Stegostoma tigrinum: one gene and its partner. The protein of the gene in region 2 purifies or fractionates together with the protein of the main gene of each other region. This does not show direct contact. Links are inferred from orthologs where the notes say so. Each region holds a gene or a part of one and is shown on either strand. Other genes may lie near its edges.

Evidence for each region.
Region 1: the proteins of stk35 (region 2) and c28h1orf174 purify together in Homo sapiens (affinity purification with mass spectrometry; 3 studies listed by BioGRID and IntAct, counting the BioPlex papers as one, with this or other methods). This does not show direct contact. The link is inferred for Stegostoma tigrinum from reciprocal best matches to the Homo sapiens genes STK35 and C1orf174.

What each region holds. Positions count from the first base shown.
Region 1 is NC_081381.1:42,839,100-42,849,768, reverse strand, and holds the start of c28h1orf174 (UPF0688 protein C1orf174 homolog), read right to left. Parts: upstream 4,455-10,669; 5' UTR 4,314-4,454; coding exon 4,299-4,313; intron 1-4,298.
Region 2 is NC_081372.1:35,989,666-36,000,140, reverse strand, and holds the start of stk35 (serine/threonine-protein kinase 35), read right to left. Parts: upstream 4,277-10,475; 5' UTR 3,817-4,276; coding exon 2,710-3,816; 3' UTR 2,676-2,709; intron 1-2,675.

The DNA of each region.
Region 1 (10,669 bases), on a different chromosome or scaffold from region 2:
GATTTTTCCTGCATGTAATTCCCAATCTATAGTAATGTGGTTGACTCTTAACCACCCTCTGGGCAATTCAGGGTGAGTAATAAATACTGATGTAGCCAGTGATGCCCACATCCAAAGAACATACTGTTTAAAAGAGTTAACAAGTCTAAATAATTTTTCAAACTCCCATTTATTCCTATCATTTGGTGAAACAATTACAAATTGTTTTATTCCAATTTGTGATCAAGTTTAATTAAAACTTGAGATATATGAGTATATCCTAGGCAACACAGTGTGGAGCTAGAGGAACATAGTATGCCAGGCAGCATCAGAGGAGCAGGAAAGCTGATGTTTCAGGTCAGAACTTGACCCAAAATGTCAACTTTCCAACTCCTCTGATGCTGCCTGGCCTATTGTGTTCCTCCAGCTCCACACTGTGTCGTCTCTGACTCCAGCATCTGCAGTTCTTGCTTATCTCGGAGTATATCCTGTGTCCCTTCAAGTCTAAGCTATCATTCTATATGACAATATTAATCGAGAGCATTCGATGTTCACTATTTTATAATACGTCAAAACCTTTCATAGTAACTTGTAATGTGTTCATTGCCCCTCAAGCTTTTTACAAATTGTGTGCTTCTGACAAGAATGCAAACCAACCTACAAAATTTTACATTTTGTTCTATACTCTAACAAAGTCAAAGTAAAGAGTAAGATTAAAGATTTCTATGTGGCAATAGATTGATAAAGTTACAGAAGGTAATGTATGTTTAAGGCTGGTATTCTAGCTATAGCAGTGATGTAAGTGCTAAGATAAAGAAACACATTGTACCTGACTAGTTCTTGTATTAGAACAACATTGTACTTGCAAGAAGTATATACTAGCGTTGTGTTTTCAACCAGAGCTATTGCAAGGTGCTGGAGACTATCAGAGTTGATTTAGGTGGTTAAAGAATGGTCTGCAAATCAGAAACACTGGTACTGTCAGAACAAAATTTCATGAAACTGATCCTGTGTAATCAGACATGGGTGAGACAAGGCTGCCGGCTATTACCAATGCAGAAGTCAACATGAAAGAAGCATGAAATAAGTACAAAAAGGTGTCCAAGTAGTTGGTCAATTGGTGAAGGCAGTGAAATTTGTAGATATGGGAAGATGTTGGCATAGCAGTATTGCCATTGGACTAATAATCTAGAGGCCCAGGCTCCGGGATATGGGTTCAAATCCCACCAGGGCAACTGATGGAATTTAAATTAAAATAGTAAATCTGAAACTGAAAGCTAGTCCTATATAATGATGACCATGACAAATATCATCAATTGTTGTAAAACTTCCTCTGGATCAACTATCCCTTTTTGGAAAGGAAAACTGTCATCCTAACTTGGCATGTGACCTACATGTGACTACAGGCCTACAGCTACAGAGTTGACTTTAACTACACGGTGGGACAGTGGTTAGCACTGCTTCTTCACAGCGCCAGGGACCCGGGTTCAATTCCACCCTGGGGCAACTGTCTGTGTGGAGTTTGCACATTCTCCCCATGTTGCGTGGGTTTCCTTTGGGTGCTCTGGTTTCTTCCCACAGTGCAAAAATGCGCAGGCTAGGTGGATTGGCCATGCTAAAATTGCCTGTAGTGTTCAGGGATGTGTAGATTAGGTAGTTTTATAGGGGGGTGGGCATGAACTTGTTAGGCCGAAGGGCCTATTTCCACGCTGTAGGGATTCTATTCTATCCTCTTCAATAACCTTGCAAACCACTCAAATCAAGGATCAAGGATGGGCAACACTGTCCACAGGGTGCTATTGAATTGGCATCAACCGCAGCAACAAGAGATGTTGTTGCACGCTAGCATTTATACAGATCCTAAAGGTCAAAAAGCTCAAACTAGGGATATTCAACAGTACAGACAGCAGAAATATTGCTTCAGAGATAGTAGGAACTGCAGATGCTGGAGAATCTGAAGGGTCTAGGTCCAAAACGTCAGCTTTCCTGCTCCTATGATGCTGCTTGGCCTGCATGTTCATCCAGCTATACACCTTGTTATCTCTTAGAGCAGAAATATTGAACTGCTTCTGAACATTAATCATAACATAGTTAGGGCAGTTGAAAGAAATACTTTTTGTCAATCATTCTTGAAAGATGTTCCCTGGCTCAAAATGCCAATGAGCCACCTGCTGTGATCCTAAATCACAGGGCAGCTTTTAAGACGTTGATAGTGGTTGCACACATGTCAACCATTGCTTCTTTTAGCGAAGACCCACTTAATTAACTGCCACTGAGACATACTTACCAGACAGCAATGACCTTACCCGGGATCAAGGAGCAGGTTGGGAATTAGCAGCAAGAGCAAAATAGTAAGACTCAAGCACTGTGCCTTTGAATGAGGGGCCCACCCATGATTTCTGTCATATGTTCCATGCATGGTGAGCATCCTTTCCCTCTACTCAACAGTGGAAGTGGGATAAATGGCATTAGTTGCTCACTTTGGTCTCAGTTAACAGTGAAGGTGAGAAGATTATCCATTGGCTTAATCAGGGCAGAAGAGGGTAGCTGGCAGAATCCCACCAATTAATTTGGCACCCCGGCATCAAGTTTACCACAGGGAAGAGCATTAAATTCCTCCCACAAAGACCAGGTTCAGTCAAGGAAAACAGTTGGAATGCCTTACCCCACTTGAGCTGGCCTAGAGGAGGAAGTTAGAGTCCAGTGATGTCTCACTGTGAATCACTATCCATTGACACCCCCATGCACAGACTCCGCTATCAGTAGAAGGGTGGTTGAGATGGTTTTTCCAGAACGAACAGCTTGATGACAAATTTTAAATTGAACTTGCAACTTCAGTAGCGATGATGGTTGGGCTGGAGTTTGGTCAGCTGACTGCAAATGCAAAGTTGATGCAGTACAACGAACACAAATTTCCTTTCTCGGAGGAAGGGTCACCGGACCCGAAACGTTAACTGTTTTCTCCTCCACAGATGCTGCCAGACCTGCTGAGCTTTTCCAGCAACTTTTGTTTTTGTTAGTGATTTACAGCATCCGCAGTTCTCTTGGTTTTTATTGCCCCCCACTCGGAACCATTCCGAAGCACTAGCACCCCCCACCTCCCGCCGATGTGGTTGAAATTTCTGCCCGTTAACTGCCGAAACACGCACTTGACAGAATGCTTATTCGTCAAAATAGTCAAAACTGCTCGTGCTGAAGGAACTTCACCCTGGCAATGAATTAACATCCTTGAGAAAGAGTGGGCGAAAACTGTGGAGAAAGAGTGGGTAAAACGAACGAAACCGTTTAACATCAACAAAATGCCTAGACAACCGCCGACAACACAATAAATGACTTCATAGATTTAAAGCTAACTCGCCCACTCGCTGATGAAAGCCTGACAGTATCCCGCCAAAGATCCGACTGTTTACACAAAGCACCTTTATAATGACATAATCGACATTCACACAGCTATCCCTGAGCCAACCATATGGGCCAACCTTCTGACACAGGCCTGCTGAATGTTTATAAACCACTTTCTTGGTGCCAAATATAAATGGAAACAAAGTGACTGGGCCTCAAAGCTCTGAGGACCTGCGACATAAATCTGGCTGTTTAATACTTTTTCTCTTGTTGCTTCATCTTTCAAGAACATCTAGCAGCACTGTACATTGTTGTCCTACTTCACAATTTGAAATCCAGACAAATTATCTTCCACAGACACAGGAAACGGTCCTTTATTGTTTTAGTTGGGGCACATTAGCTGTCATTCGCCTCAAAAAGTGTGCACCTTCCAAAACAAAATCTCGATGCCGGTACAACATCGATCGAAAACTTCACGATTCTGTGGCATCTCTTGATTGTGACAACAGCGAGATTCATATAATAATATTACCTCCAAAACACGTTCCAGCAGTATTCTCAACAAAGCTACCCTCCCAGCTCAGTCTGTGCCATCGTAACTCAGGATTGCTATTCTAGCAGAGCCCATATCAACCTACCCTATATAGGCAGGGCCAACTGGTGGGGAAGGACACAGCCTGCATTGAACTGACTTCCTGACTCCTCTTTTGTGACTTGCCGACGACATATTTGGACCTTGTGCCGGTCGGGTTCTAAGAGGCTCTTGCAATACAAGAGACAGCAATTAACTGTTGATGTTTTAAAACTGCACCTTAAAAAAATTTCAGCGCTTGCAGGCAGGCAGTTTTTGGGAATCTCAACTTTGTGAAGACAAACACTTCAGCGCGCTCAGGCACAGGCTGCGGATCCCTTTAATAACATTCAGTAGCTAGACGGGGAAAATAGCACCTGCAAGCCGAACTCCAGTAAACTCCTACCTGCTTAGTCTTCATCTTCAGTGAAAGCGATCGTCCCAACCTGTTACAGTCACACGCTCGCCGCAAACAGGACTGTAACAAACATTTGCAACTTTCAGCGAAACTCGGTCTCCGAGACTCAACCCCACCCCACACGCCCAGACCGCTGTCTGAATGGAGGATTGTGGCCCACTCGGCGTGTCGATTGGTTTGCTAAGACGTCCATCATTCCGTATTAAATGGGCCCCGCCATCTTTGTGAAGGGCAAAATAGAAAAATGTCAAACTGTGCAGAAAGCTGACTTTGCATTGGATTAATACCTTTTGAGTACTTTTGGCAGATGAAAGTAAACCATGAGCTCTATTTGTGTAAAAGCACAGTTTGCAACGCCAGTAAAAGTGACCGACCATTACTGTACCTTCTAAATTGTTTTGCAGTTTAGCAAGTAAGGGATATGTACAATTTCTAACCAATTTGCTTATCTTCTAGCATACTCGAACTATATGGCACATATTGCTTACACAATTTATATCAAAGTCAAGAACTGTTTCATTAAATTGACCACAATATATGTCGAACAACTCTGATGAATTTTCACGCGCGCGCACAGTAACAAACAGAAATACGGTTCAAATTGCCGCACAAAATGTACCTTATTCCAGGTACTATCAGCAGTGTATCTGTCGACAATTGTTCTTATATTCCCGGAAAAATGACCAAAAATGCCATTTTGAGCACTTTTTAAGATTATAATTGTCACTGATGAATGGCATTACCTATACACAATAACATCTGGAGCTCAAGGGGCGTTCTTAAATCCTTTGTATGTTCTGCAGATTGTCAGGCACAACAATGAATTCAACCGTTTCAAATTGTAACGTCTCTAATCACGTTCATTTTTCTTTGCTGATTTGAGGTTTTTACATTTGATTTGCCTACCCGCTCTTGGTTTTGCTTTTGAGCAGCGACTGTTCATCATTCTGTCGTTCCCAAAACCTCTTGACACATCTTTTGTTTCTTTACTTGTTCCACTATCACTTCTTTGGCTTCTGACTTGAGTCGTTTATCTTTCTTTCCCTCCATCTGACCACAAACATTCCCTTATGTGCTTTTTCTCACCATCACCCCTTCAATTTGCTTCAAACTTATCCCATCTCCCACTTTTTTCTTGTACAGATGAAAGATTATTAACCCGAAACATTAACTGCTTCTTTGTCGAGATGTGCTGCCTGACTTACTGAGTATTTCCACTTTTTTTTGTTTCTATTTCAGATTTCCATATTCTCTGTGCTTTAGAAAAATCGAACTATCGAAAAATTCACTACTTTGGATATTCGGTAAATTGCAAAGTAACTTTTGTGGGGCTAAGACTTATATTATTTTTAAAACTGAAATTTATTACAGCCGTGTGTTTACTCAGTGGATTGCCATTATTTTAGAACTAATTCTCTTTCACTAAATTATCTGACCTATAAATAATATTTAGATTCTTTCCCAGGTAGGGCTGAATGGCAGCTTTATTTTTTAGTGTCTATTTATCCTTAAGTAGAGGGCAGCTTGGTGATATTGCAATTTTTTTCAAGGTTGTGCTCTTTCAGGTCATAGGGTCAGAGTCATACAGCACAAAAACAGACACTTTGGTCCAACTCGTCTATGCTGACCATAATCCCAATCTAAAATGATCCCACCTGCCTGTGCTTGGCTCATATCCCTCCAAACACTTCTTATTTATGTACTTATCTAAATGTCTTTTAAACAATGCAAACAAACCACACCCACCACTCCCTCTGAAAGTTCACTCCACACATGAACCACTTTCTGTGTAAAAAAGTTGCCCATCATGTCTTTATAAAATCTTTCTCCTCTCACCTTAACAATATGGCATCTCGTCTTGAAATCACCCAACCTAGGGAAAAGACACCTATCCATGCCCCTCATGATTTTTTAATCACCCCCAAATTCTTACACTCCAGTGAAAAAAGACCCAGTCCATCCAGCCTATTTTTATAACTCAAAGACTCTACTCCAGCAACATCCTGGTAATTTTTTTTCTGAACCATCTGCAGTTTAATAATATCCTTCCAAAAACATAACTGGACACAATACTTCAGAAGAGGCTTCATCAACTTCCTGTACATCTCAACATGATGTCCCAACTCCTATACTTTGTCTTTGTAAGATAATTTTATTAGCCACTTTTCACTGAAGCGCTATATTTAGGACATTCTTTATTGCAGGAATAAACCATTACTGATCAAACACTATGAGGTTAATTTCAGAATATGATATCAAAGCACTAACATATAACCTCACCAAGCAACTAGATTAACACTGAATTGATACTGATAATATAAGCAATCACTCAGTGTCAGTGCTGTGGTGGATACTACTGAGATGGTAATTGCTTAGTTGTGTGCCTTACAAAGAATATGTATTATCAATCAAGAGTATAGAAATGTATTGAGGAACCTCAGAGTGGAACATGAAACTGTAAAATATGTTCTGACATTTCAAATACAAACTGGTTTACCATCAGCCTGTATACCTTATGTGAACTATATGTTGTATATATTAAGATTATTACAATTATATAAAGTGAAACTCATTGTATTGCGACAAGGTGAATTTTCTCGCAAACTGTAATTTGGAGCCATGTGTTTTGTAATTTTTTCACAAATTTTAAGAATAAAATACATAATTTTGGAAACAGAACGTGATTATTGTCTGGTGTTATCTGACTTGTTTTGAACAACTGCAGATAGGCTTTTAAACATTTCTGATTTTAATTGACTCACACTACGATCAGTGGCCCTGCCTTCAACTACTAAGACCCTAAATTGTGTATCTCCCTCCCTAAGTCTTTCTGCCTATATATTGCTCTTGATTGTTTAAAGACAATACTTAAGGCCTCCCTGTTTGACCAAACATCTGATTTTGTTACTGGTTCAGTGTCAATTTTTGATTTCACAGTAGTTGCAAATTGCCTTGGGACATTTTGTTACATGAAAAGCATGAAACAAATGCAAGTTGTTGTTGTTATAGAGGGTAGGGAAAATACCGAAGAGTGATAATTTGTGCTGAACCATGAGTGCTCTTTCTTAAGGAAATCTTATTTAATGATGTATTGTGTGAGGATCTTTAGGTCATAATCAAGCAGCTAGTTCTGTCAACAACATTCACGAACACTCTCATCCCTCTGGGAATTCTACTGGGAAGTGATTAAGATTAAAGATAAGACATATTTCTTTAGTAATTTGGAATTTGTGAGCAGATGTCTGGTACTATTACGTTCATATCCAGTGTTTACGATTCAGCAGAAAGCCATTGGCATTTTCTTACTGCATTACATGCAGTATGTAATAAATATTCAGATTGATTATATAAAATAGAGGCTCTGAAACCAATTAGAAGACAGGCCTACAGTTATGATATCTTAGGTTTCCATCAGATATACTCTGCAATTCCAATGCCTATTTCCAGGTTTCCATGTTCAGAAAATTTATCTTGGTGCTCTGAAAGGGCCAGCAGTTCCAGCACAGCAGCTGTGATGGCAAAACCTAGAATTACAACCTGTTTGGAGAATTATAGACACAGATTTTCATCAGAATTTGTAAAATAACTTTGTCAGTCCTACTTAAGTTTGCAAAGAAATAAAACCAAGCACTGGGCCCATCTCTCATAATTACTGCATTGGCTATAAGGAGCTCTGGGATATTTGGTGGTTATGTAAAATGCAAGATACTTACAGGTTTTGTTTATCTTTCCCTCCAGCTCACTAAAGAAAGAAGACAAAGTGAACTGTGGGAACTACTGAGGAGCCTCCCTCCTCTCCATCACCCAAATCATTGCTAAGCACCTTCTCTCAGTCTCAGAAGAAATCTTTCCTGAAAGCCAGCATGGCTTCCAACCAAACTGTGGACCTAGGCACATGATTTTCATTGCTTGGCAATACCAAGATAAATGTCAGAAACACCACCAACCACTCTACCTGGCCTTCATCAACCTGAGCAAGACTTTTGACTCAGGCAGGAACTTTTATGGAAGATCCTGTCAAAGTTTGGCTGTCTACTGTTACTCATTACCATCCTCTGTCTCCACTATGGCTAGATGAAGGGTCTGTTTCTATGCTACATGACTCGATATTGGCAATGGTCCTCATTGACAGCAAAGGATAGAATCCTTTGAGATGAAGATAATGATTGAGCAGGGATGTGTCATCACACCCGCCGTTTCCCACCTTCATTGCCAACATCCTTTATCTTGTCAAGAACAAATTTTCCAGTGGTGTGAACATTGTCCACAGCATGGATGGAAATCTTTTCAAACTCAACCAATTGAAATCCAAGAAGAAGCTGACACTGACCTCACTTGCGGAACTTGAGCATGCGGATGACAATGTCACCTCTGGTCTCTTGGAAGAGAATTTTCAAGCTTCACTTAATGCCTTCTCAGAAGCACACTGAAGAATTTGTCTCAGGCTCAACTTTAAGAAAGCTCAAATCCTTTACCAACCCATCCCAGGTCAAGTTCTGGTCCACCCCTCTATTAAGATCAACAGAGAAATCCTCCCAAATGTGGCACATTTCCGTACCTGAGAAGCTACCTCTCATCTAAGGCTGACAATGATGTAGAGATTCAACATTACATATAATCTGCAAGTGCTGCCTTCAGACAGCTAAGGGTGAGCGTCTTCAACAACTGTGACATCCATGTTGATAACAAGATCCTTGGGCATAAGGCAGTCATCCTTCCAACTCTTCTGTATAATAAAGTGTGAAGTTGGATGAACACAGCAGGCCAAGCAGCATCTCAGGAGCACAAAAGCTGATGTTTCGGGCCTAGACCCTTCATCAACTCTTCTATATGGTTTGAAACTTGGATTATGTATACGCGCCTACCTCAAGACCCTTGAGAAATACCAATGTTATTTGAGCTGGATTCTCCACATCAGTTGAGATGACAGGCGTACTAACATCAGCATCCTTGAAGCAGCTAACAGCAACAGCACTGAGGCCACGAGCATCCAAAATTGACTCGCCTGGGCTGGCCATATGCTTAGGATGCCTGAATTCTGACTACTAAAGCAAATCTTCTTTGCCCAATCAAGGAAGGCATTCGAATGTGAGGAGGACAAAGGAAGTGTTTCATAGGATCCACGAAGGCTTCCATCATGAAATGCAACATAGATATCAATTCATAGGAGACCCTCGTTCAGAAGAAACTGGCTTGGAGAAAGCTCCTGTACGAAAGGACACAATACTTTGAAAACACCTGGCAGCAATAGCAATTACAGAAAGGAACTGGAGAAAGGAACACCAACAATCTCAAGGTCAAGGACCAATTCCATCTTCTGGAAACACCTGCCAAATGTGTGCTCAGGATGTGGCTCTCAGATTGGGCTCATCAGTCATACAAGGTCCCACAGAACACATGATCAGTGACACAGAATTTCCTAGGTGGACAAGCATACTCACTCGTGAATGATTGCCGATGACAAGAAAAACAGGTGTTCCAAGAAGAATATAGAACTTCATAATACATACAGATGTACTGTATGCAAACAGACTCTTTGGTCCAACTTGTTCATGTTGACCAGATATCCTAAATTAATCTAGTTCCATTTGCCAACATTTGGCCCATATCCCTCTAAATCTTCCTATTCATATACCCATCCAGGTGCCTTTTAAATGTTGTTTTTGTAGCAGCCTCCACCACTTCCTCTGGCAGCTCATTCCATACATGCACCACCCTCTGCATAAAAGAAAATGAGCCTTAAGTCCTTTTTAAATCTTTCCTCTCTCACCTTCAATCTATGCCCTTTAGTTTTGGACTCCCTTACCCTGGGGTAAAGACCTTGGCTAGTCACTTTTTCTATACCCCTCATGATTTTATAAATTTCTTTAAGGTCACTGCTCAGCTTCTTACACTCGAGGGAAAATAGCCGCAGCCTATTCATCCTCTCCCTAAAGTTCAAACACGCCAACATTGATAACATCCTTGTAAATCTTTTCTGAACCTCTTTAAGTTTCACAACAAGGAGATCAGAAATGAATGCAATAGACCAAAAGCGGTCTGACAAATGTCCTGTACAGCCGCAACATGATCTCCCAACTCCTGTACCCAATGCAATGACCAATAAACCCAAGCATACCAAACACCTTTTACTATCTATCTGCAACTCTATTTTCAAGGAATTATGGACCTGCACTCTAAGGTCTCTTTGTTCAGCAACCTTCCCCTGGACCTACCATTGAGTATATACCTCAAGTCTTCTCCACGACAGAAAGGGACAAGTTAGTCTGATGCCAGGAAGGTTGTAGATGAAAAAAAAGCTCAGAAAGCACTACACCTCCACATCAAAGTTACTGACGCTTAGACCTCACAAATTTCTG
Region 2 (10,475 bases):
CTCCCACAAAATTTTAAATTTGAATTTTCATTGTTGGGATATGTCCTACATAATATATGCCCAATTCCTGGCCATAAGAAAGTAGTACATAGAGAAAGGCTACTTACATCTGTGCTGTGTTCTAGTCTTCCAGATTATGGGTCTGCTCTCAAACGTTTAACACCACTTGCAGTGCAAAATCATTGTAAAATTCACCGCTGCACTTTATGAAGCTAGGTAGGATAAAGATAAATGTCCCATTTGCGAACTAGCCTCAATTACCCAAGGTATTAACAAAGGTTACACATATCCTCACTGAACTTTCATCTTCAACTTTTTTTTATATAAAAAAGTAAAAATGGCCTGCATAATATTATTGATCCATGAGGTCACATGTAAGAATTACATTAGTAGCTACAGAGTGCAATTTTGTGCAAGAACAAACTTCTCAAAAATAAAGAAATGAAACTGAAAGTAAAAAGAAAGTTGGATATCCCCATCTGAAAAAAAAAGTTTTCTACACGTCCAGAGAAAACTTGGCAGAATAAATTCAGTAACAGCCAAAAGACAAAATGTTTCATAAGCCGAAAGGTAAAGTTTGCAATTACAGTAATTGATCTTCAGCAGTTCTGCTACTAAACAACTTTCTTATGGGATGTTCATCATACGGTTTACATGGACATTTGTAACACATGCTTGTGGAAAATATTGCTTGCAGAAGTATAACAAGTCAGCAAGACTAATGAAAATATTCCCAAACTATACACAAATTCAGTTGAAAAAGGTACATAACCCTGCCTACAGTTTCACTCCAGACTGCAAAATATTTACCAGTTCGTTTTTGGGCCACTAACTGGTTTAGACAAGCAATTCCTTTAATTAACAAGTGTGAAAATGATTGACTTTCATAATTTCCAGATTTCACCCATTAAAAAAAAATCTGCATTTTCCTCTTTCTACAAAATATAAAAACAGTCAAACTGGTGCTTGCAAAAATGAAAACAGAGATAGTAGGAACTGCCGAGTGCATTCTGGATAAACACACTCGCCTCACTACAGCATGAATGCAGCAATCTGATGGATCATCATTATTCCCAAACTTCCTTTTCATATTTGAGACAATTTATACATCAAATACTATTAACTTATTTTAATTGCATCAGATTTCTTGTGATGAGTTACACTAAAACTTTTAACTATATTGCCTGCATTCAATATTGGCAATATTTGCTGTGTTATTCTGCTTCGGCCACCTTTTAATCTCACCCCACCCTCAAATTAAAATTGAGTTAAATAGAGAATGTACACAAGTTCTCAAATACACCAAAACAGAAACAGGCTAAACAATACTCCAAAGTTCTGAGGAAAACTGAGCTTATTGTTCTAATGCATGAAGCTATCATTTAGCACAATGCCCCTGAAAAAATCCTCCATTTCAACTGTGGGTCACATTCTTAAAACATCTTCGTAAAACAATTAAAATGCTGTGTCTACTTTGTCGGAAAGTTCGTGGGTCTGAAGTAGTTAAGAACAGCAACAGAAACACAACAGAACACAAATATTAAGACATTTAGCCAGGACAGGGAAAAACTATTTGCTATTCCAAATTATGAGAATAATTTAAATGCAGAAGAAAGGTTGCATAGTTATCAATTTGACAGTATCTAATTAGAGCAGGGAGTTCTAAAATACGTTGTTATTTATTGATAATAATATGGAACACTGCATCAGTGGCGGGGATTTAAGCAGCTTTTCTTGATACCAAGTGAGAAAGCAATGCACAAACTTCTCAAGACGTCTATTAGCATTATGTTTGAAAACAAAAGGAATCAAAACCACTACGTCCTATATTAGCTTACAGACCAGTAGTTACATGCAAAACAATCATCCATAACAACTGAGGAACTGTGTCAATATTAAAAGTCACCTTTTCCCCAGTCACTACCTGACCAGCCAAGTGATATCCAATATTTTCAATTCTACTCTTAATTGAACATTTGATTCACAATGCACCAATCTCAGAATAACATGTATAAACTTTAATTGTTTGCTGGTAAAATGTTCATTATGGTCTAAGTGACATTACTAGTCTGGCATCTATTTGCAAATAATGTGATTGGAAGTAATAGTTTAGCACATTCCAAACCCTAGGGTATTTGAGAAAGACTAGGACCTAATTGAAGTGCAAGTGGGGAACGGCTTGAGTGAGTCACTGCCAAGAGAATTGCAGCATATTTCTAACACCAATTTGATTTGCTCCTGCCTTGACTTCTTGATTTTCTAGCATTATTTCTCAGTACCCAACCAGACATAAAGAACACAGTACACTTAATGGGTACACTGGCTTTTTTGGGTTCTTCTACACATCAACTATTGTTTGTGCTGCAAGAGAATCATCCCAGAGTTTGGTTGCTTTCTAAGAAAAATGCCCACCTTCCTCTTCCGACGAACAAAGCAAATGTTAGGTTGTTTTCTTGATAATTAAAAAATGTCCTTAAATTGGGCAAATTAAAATCAAAATGGGGCCAGAGTTAAAGCGTTTGAAAAAGACCACACTTTCAAAACATGTACGTTCTGACACTGTATGCTTTACAATCAAGGAGAAGCTATATACACTAAATAAGGCAAGTGTGGTATATAGAATTACATATGACCAAGAATCCACAATATCAATATTTTGCTTACTGTCTGTATACCTTTTACAAGAGTATCCCCTTTATAATAGATAATTTATGCAGCACAAGTGACCTGGTCCATCCTAGTTTCTAACTCAAATGCGTCGGGACGATCCTGTGGATTAGCAGCCAACATGTCTTTAATAAGCTGTTTGATCCCTTCAGACATAAAAGTCCTCCTTTTCTGCGGGATATGTAGTTCCATCTTTGGGTTTTCTAGCAATGCCTCCCCTACAGGTACAATCTCACTGCCCTGTCTAACATAGGTCCCAAGCAGTTCTTTCTTAGTCTCAGCATCAATAAATGTTATTCGTTCAATCATGGCCCATATGATGATCCCCAGAGCGAAAATGTCAGCCTTGGCCGTATAGTGTCCTTCCCAGACCTCTGGAGCCATGTAAAAGTCAGAGCCACAGGCGGAGGACAACCAGCACTTGTTCACATTCACGTTTTTGTTAGTGGCTGCTCCTCCGCCCACCACACAAACTTTGCTGAGGCCGAAATCGGCCACTTTGAGAATGGGGACTCCCGACTTCTCGGAGATGAGGATGTTGTCGGGTTTCAGGTCGCGGTGGACGATGTGGTTCTTATGCAGGAAGGCGATGGCGCTGGTCAGCTGCAGCATGAAGCTGGTGTTGACGGCCGAGTCGGGCCTCCGGGACAGCACGTACTGGTTCAGGTCACCGCCGTTGCAGAACTCCATGACGAACCAGAGGTAGCAGGGCTCGCCGGCGCCCAGGATCCGCTCACCCTTCAGCGAGGTCTCGACCAGGCGCAGGTAGAACTCGGAGCGCTTGTTGCCGTGGCTCATCTTCTGGGCCATGCCATTCCGTTGCAGCACACACTCCTCGAACTGGATCACATTCTCATGCTGCCGTTTGAGGCTGGTCAGAGCCCAGAACTCGGACAGGGCCAGCTCCACGTTCTCCGGGGCGTCGCAGCGGATCTTCTTGATGGCCACCCGGGCGCCGCTCTTCCTCACCACCGCCTCGTACACCACGCCGTAACTGCCGCGGCCCACCTCCTGCACCAGGCTGTACTTGGGCTCCCACAGCAGGCCCGGGAGCCTCGGGCTGTTCGTACTGGTGGTGGTGGTGCCGCCGCTCAGCGCCGGGCGCTCCTCACAGTCGGTGCCTTCTCTCGGCAGGTCGTGAGTTTCCATGGTGGGCAGCTGGCTGAGGGGAGGCTCTCGCACTCCACATCACTGAGCGACAGAGGCCGGGGCCTGGCTCTCTGTCTCTGCCCCCAGGGCCTCCGCCTCGGCCTCGGGGCCCCCGCTTCACTCGGCTCGAGCTCCAGCTCCAGCGCAGCCGCAGCTCCCGGCCCCACTCCCGGGAGAGGGGGGGGGTTGGGGGTAAAGAGAAGGGAAGAGGAACAGGACCCGGCACTCACTCACTGCCGGCCTCTCCTCCTCCACCAGGGTAACATCCAGCCTTCCGCCCTCCTCGGGATCAGAGCACACAGCCGCTCACCGAGCCGGACAAACTGAGCCGCCTGGTTGTAGCGGGCCTCCGCCGGCTCGCGCACTCATTCATTGCTGGGAGTTTGGGGCCTTCTCCCCCCAACGCTTCCTTTCGGCCAGTCCACGGCCGGCCCCGTGCTCACGTGCCCTTGCCGAGCGCATGCGCACGTCCCGAGCTGCCTTCATGCCTCTTTCCTGTCGCGTAGTTGCGTGTCTACTCGATCTACCGCACTGTGGTTCACGGAGTTGGCTTGTCATTGCCATGCAGTGTCTGCGCGGTCTTTGCAATGTACCTCAGTCTGTACAGGCAGCCCTGTCATGCCATGCAATGCCTGTGCAGGCTGTACTTTTCATTATGCATCGCAGTCTGCTCAGGCCTCTGTTATGTATTACGCAATCTGTGCAGGCGGTGCGCTTAATTAATGTACAGCAGTTCGTGCAGACAACGTACCGTGTAATGCAGTCTCTGCAGGCTGCAGTGTGTCCAGGCTGCTCTGTCATACGAAGTCTTATACGGGCTATTCACCTTAGTGCAGTCTCAAGAAACTGTATACCAAGTAATGCAATTTGTTACAGATGAAATTGAAGGGATGTTATAGATTTTGTCCTCAATATTTCCAGTTTCTGCTGAATGTCGTTTGAAAGCTAGTAAATTGACCATATATTCATTAATTGGATCAAAACAGTGGGGTAAATGATGTGTCTGCGGTATTACTATGAATAATACCATAGACGCATCATTTACCCCACTGTTTTGACCCAATTAATGACTGGTAGTCATAGAAAGGGTACAGACTAGTTTTGGTCTCGATTTTTCCTCCCTCCCATCCTGTTCAGATCATCCCCAGACATCCTTCCCTGCTTGTGACATGCAGATGCAAAACACTGAGACGCAGCCTGGAAACTGGAACAGAAACAGAGGTCGCTGTTTGTGGCCAGCAGGTCTGGCCACATCTATGAAGAAAAATCAAGGTTAACATTTCAGGTCCGGTTACCCTTTTTCAGAACTGATCGTAGCTAAGAAAATGTCAGTTCATTTGCAGAAGACAGAGAGGAGCAAGGGGTAAGGAGTAGACGATAGGTGGGGATAGAACCCAAAGAGAGCAAAGAGCAGTTGGATAGACAAAGGAGTTAATAACAATCTGGCTAGGAGGGTGGATAGTTGTTAATGGGGACTGTTGGGGGTGGAGTCATAAGGAAGGGGATGGGAGGAAGATTCCAGAGGTCCATGAGTATCTCTGAGTTGTTGCATATTGTGGAAACTGACCCATTTTACCTTTACCCAACCATCTTTGAACTATCTGGTGGATGTCCCAGGGTGTTGATGGTGCTAGCCTCGCATCATGGGAGTGGGCATAGTAGATGCTTCCGTCCCAGCCTAGAGAGCTAAGCAGCCATGTTTGCTACTTTAACTTATGTATGTCACAGCAGAGACTATGTCCATTCCTCTTTGTCTCTTCCAAGTAAGTGACAGATATCTTCAGGAGCTAGCAGCATTCACAGTTTTGCCGTAGTTATCACTTAATTTATCTTTGTTGTAGTGTTGGAATATCTGTTGTCATCCCATCCTTTGGGAATCTCACCACAAGCATGCACTGCATGACAAAAGCAACATTTATCCTGAAAAATATGTCAAAGTTACAATGAGATTGAGTGAACATCTTACTCTACTGCAGATATGTCCAGAGGAGGAAATCCAAGAATATCAAGTTACACCATACAGTAAACTGGTTATACTGCAGCAAAAGGATGTTATCTAAGATCTAATGAGATGCAAGGAAGAGAATTCAAGAACAGGAAGTGGTTTAAAGAGTCAAAAGGCTTTTCTTAAATACCGGTCCTATTATTGCGTGTTACAATTTTTCTAATGTTTAGGAACCGTTCCAGTTACCAGTTTTTTTTAATGACACATTCATAACTCTAGGCATAGCCTCACAAATTTCCTCCTTCATCTCCTTTGGAACTTTAAAGCATATCCAACATTACAGAGGAAAAAGGTTATTGGAAAGATCACTGAAAAACATAACTGCAATGAGTAACAGATGGAATTTACAGAACATACTGCATGCCCACTGGTGCAATATCAATCTAAGGAAGGGACATTGTCACAGTCAAGAACTGATAGAGTAGCAGGAACTGAACTCTGCATTTATTTTTGTGAAAGTAATTTTGAAAAGTTATTGCTGTTCATCAATAATATTGTACTTAAAATTCATAAATGTATTGGTAATGTGAATTTATCTAACACTTTTAATGTGCCTGAAATGGCCCAAGACCCTTAGACATGCTTTGAAAAGAATTTGACAAAGTCAGGGGAACATCTGCAGGATTTTCTAACTGGATGGCATAATATAGATAAGGAGGGGAGAAGACAGTCAACAAAGGATATTTGAGAACAAGGATGAAAATGTTAAAATCAAGACATTTCTGGACCAGACACTAGTTTAGATCAGCAACCAGATGCATAATGGCAGCAGAGCTGTAGATGGGCTCCAGTTAACAAAGTGTGCAAGGTTAGAAGCTGGCTAGGAGAGCATTGGAAAAGATTAGTCTAGAGATATCAATGGAATGGATGAGGATTTCAGCAGCAGCCAAGCTGAGGCAGTGGTGGAGATTGGCAATATGTTGGATGCAGTAGTCTTGGTGATGGAGAGGATATTATTACAATGCCAGGATTTTAAATATTGCATGATAGAATACAAATACGCTGATGAAAATATCACATGGAGGAGTAAGTGTAAAAACATGATCTGTCTCAAATAATATAGTTGCAATTTAAGATTATTTAAGTATGGCCATTGAAAGAATTTTCAATCAGCCATTTGCTTGCAGATCCTTTGTAACAACTATACCTAGCTGGATTCCAGTTCATACTGTAAGAAATTATGTTAATAAGAGCAGTGAGCCCTCTTATAAGTAAAGGGTAAGAGCAGTGATAAATGCCATCTAATCACAGTTTTCTAAAACAAGCATTGAATGGATAGTTAGATGTATAGTACTAGTATTGCTGTATTTAATTTTTTTTGGTATTGGCGTCAAGTTCAATTCAACATCTTTTTCAAAAAAAATGGTACAGAAAATATTTCAAAAATCCCTCACTTGCTTTCTGAATCAAATGGCTATAATAGCTCTTAGGCCATATCTTGTACTTACTTGCTCCCCAGAATCTAATTTCTCAAAAAGGGTCAAATGTAGACTTTCAGAATATTTATTATATCAGAATATTAAATGGGAAAACTGTCAACTGATAAACTGCCCTAGAAATAAAATAGATTGCTTGGGCATTTTAAACACTAGCTTTATGCAGCACTGGAATTACAGCCCACATTCTGCCTCCGGGGTAGCGTTTCACACCATTTATTTTAAACATTTTCTAGATGGACACTGATTGATCATTGCAGAGTTAAACCACCACTGTTGCATCAAGGCATAACTGAAGCCATCCTACATCCATACAAATTGGCGATACAAATGTAGCTAAAGACTTTTCCTTTGTTCTGCTTCCTATACAGCTGTATCTTACCATGGACTTAAGTACAGTCATTGAGTACTCTGGCATTCCAATGTTACAAATACAAATGTCAGTAATCAAAAGATATCAAAATGCAGAATTTATATTCTGAAGTTTCAAAGCAGACATTTGAAATTCAGATCAAAATTAGATGGTCATATTAATTTGATGATGCTCACCCCATTCAACAAAGTAATTATCTTCTTTTCATTGACTGATAAATAATCTGAAAGAACCAAATTAAAATGATATAAACAAGTTTGAGCTTTATTTACAAAAAACTGCCGTGAGTGCTGTATTGATTTAGAAGTGTCACATTGTTGAAAAACTATTTTAGTGATTAAATATCCATAAATCAGTATTATCTAATCTGTAATAGTCAATATGGAATGTTATATATTTCATGTAAGAGATGGATATAATTCAATATTCTATTATAAATGCAGTTTAAAAAAACAATTGGGATTGATTTTCAGAGTCAGTTTATGATGTCTGTCTAATAATTTAGGCTGTAATGAATTCAGGTTATTGATCTTACAGGTTTCCATTTGTAGCAGTCACCTACAAAACTACAGGTTTTTAATGTTTTTAATGTTTCAGATGTTACTTCCTAAAGGAGGTTCTTCTTCCTCTGCCAAAATACCTGTTGTAACTTTTACTCTATTGACATTCCTCAAAGGTAGATAATTCAGAAAAGCAGGAGGTCAAATTGTCCTGTCATGGCAAATCAAGTTATGTTAAAACTGTTTAGACATGTTTTAAAATGACAAGCTGGTTTTGCAGCAACAGCCTTTTTGCCCCAGGGTAAGAATGTCCTGTCAGTTCAAATGCATTAGGGGATGTATTTGGTTTTAAGATAAAGCAGAATTCAGGCACTGAAAAGGTCTTAAAAGATCACGAATTCGGTGATTATGGCATATGGAGTTATGATGCTATTTAATCAGTTTCATGCATGCACAAGTTGCTGGTACAAATCAGGCAGGACAATTGGGCCACCAACCTGCTGTAATTAGTTAGACAGCTGAACAATTTTGATCAGAGATAATGGGAACTGCAGATGCTGGAGAATCCGAGATAACAAAGTGTGGAGCTGGATGAACACAGCAGGCCAAGCAGCATCCTCGGAGCACAAAAGCTGACATATCGGGCCTAGACCCTTCATCTAGGCCCGAAACGTCAGCTTTTGTGCTCCTAAGATGCTGCTTGGCCTGCTGTGAACAATTTTGATGTTAGGATCTCATTTTCAACTTCACAGGCCAGCAACCAATGCATTTTCTGTCTTGATTCAGGCCTCGTTGATTTGCAGGATGCATTTCCAAAGGACATGATGACAATTTAAGGTATACTCATACCTCTTGATTTAAATATATTCAAATTATGTTGCTGTGTTTCACAATATGAGCCAAAAGATGTGTCATGGTAGAACTCCATGGTTCAGCAATGCAGTGATTACAATTTTAGTGGAATACAGGAGACCCCATAACATGATTCTCTCACCTGCAATGTCAGGAGGCTATCAGAGACATGCTGCAGCAGGCCTAGAAGGAAGTGGTACAAAAAAATCAATTCAAAAAACATTAGCAATGCAAGATCAGTTTGCGTTGTCATGGAAAATTCAATAATCATAACTAGTTCGGAAAGTTGGGAATGATTCTCACCTATTTCATTTTCTCTACGTCAGACTATAACAATTCCCTCCATTCCTCCAATCACTAGGACACACCGCACCAACCCTGTTTTCTTAGCCAAATCAAACTCAACTGTTGCAGCTACCTTCAGAATAACTCCAAACAGTATGCTGCTTTCACCACGTAACAACTGGAAGCATTTTCTCCCTCTGCTATCTGTTTTTACATGTCAATCTGGAGCCACTTCCTTGCACATTACTACTTCCCCATCCTGCTTGTACTGGCCAGCTCCTCCATCTCATCAGCACACAATAGGCAACAGGCTCATACATCTACACAACACCTAACCAAAAATACAAACTTCTCCCACTCTTCTTGCAAGAGCACTGTCTCACAATAGCTAGAAATGAACAAACCTTAGTGGAGGTACTGCCTGCAATCAAGTCTTCACTTGTCTGGAGAAAGATACTTTGGGTATTATTGGGCCAAACAACCAGAAATGCATTGGGGATGAGAAACGGAAGGTTACTGCAATGGATCCAGTTCTCCTATCTATATCTGCAATTTCCCCTCTGCCTTCCACCAATTAGATATTTTCCAGTTTCTTGGTTCTAGTGACCAGTTTTCCTACATCACTGGGAGGGGTCTCCACTTCTTCTTAGAATGACAACCCCCACCTGGCTAAACTTATTTCTTCATTCAATCGCTTTCTCCTTTGACTCCTCTCACTTTCTGCAGAATAAAAGATGGTGCTGTATGAACATTTATGGGTCCTAGCCATGCCTGCTTTTTTTTTTATCAGATACATAGAACACAGGTTTCCTCCCAACTTCTTTTTCTAATAAATTTATTACTTTAATTGGTCACCCTTCGTGCTCTCAGCACAAATTGGAATATATAATCAATTTTGAAGCAAATTTCCACTGTTCTTTGCACATAATCCTCACTTCCCTTCCTTCCCTTTTCTATCTCCATAGTTTGCAACAGGCTGTCACTAACAATCTATTATAATTGCACTGACTGAAGCAATCATTGGGCTTGGACTTTTCACCAGCTTACCTTCCTTAAAGCCTCTATTCCATCCTCCCAGATTCTTTGTCCCCATTGTATCATGCTTCCTACACTGTTCTAATAATGCACAACTGAAGCTCAAGCAGCAGGACTTTACTCAGTTAAACACTTTTTAAAAAAAATTCCATTGTGGGATAAGAATGTCTGGC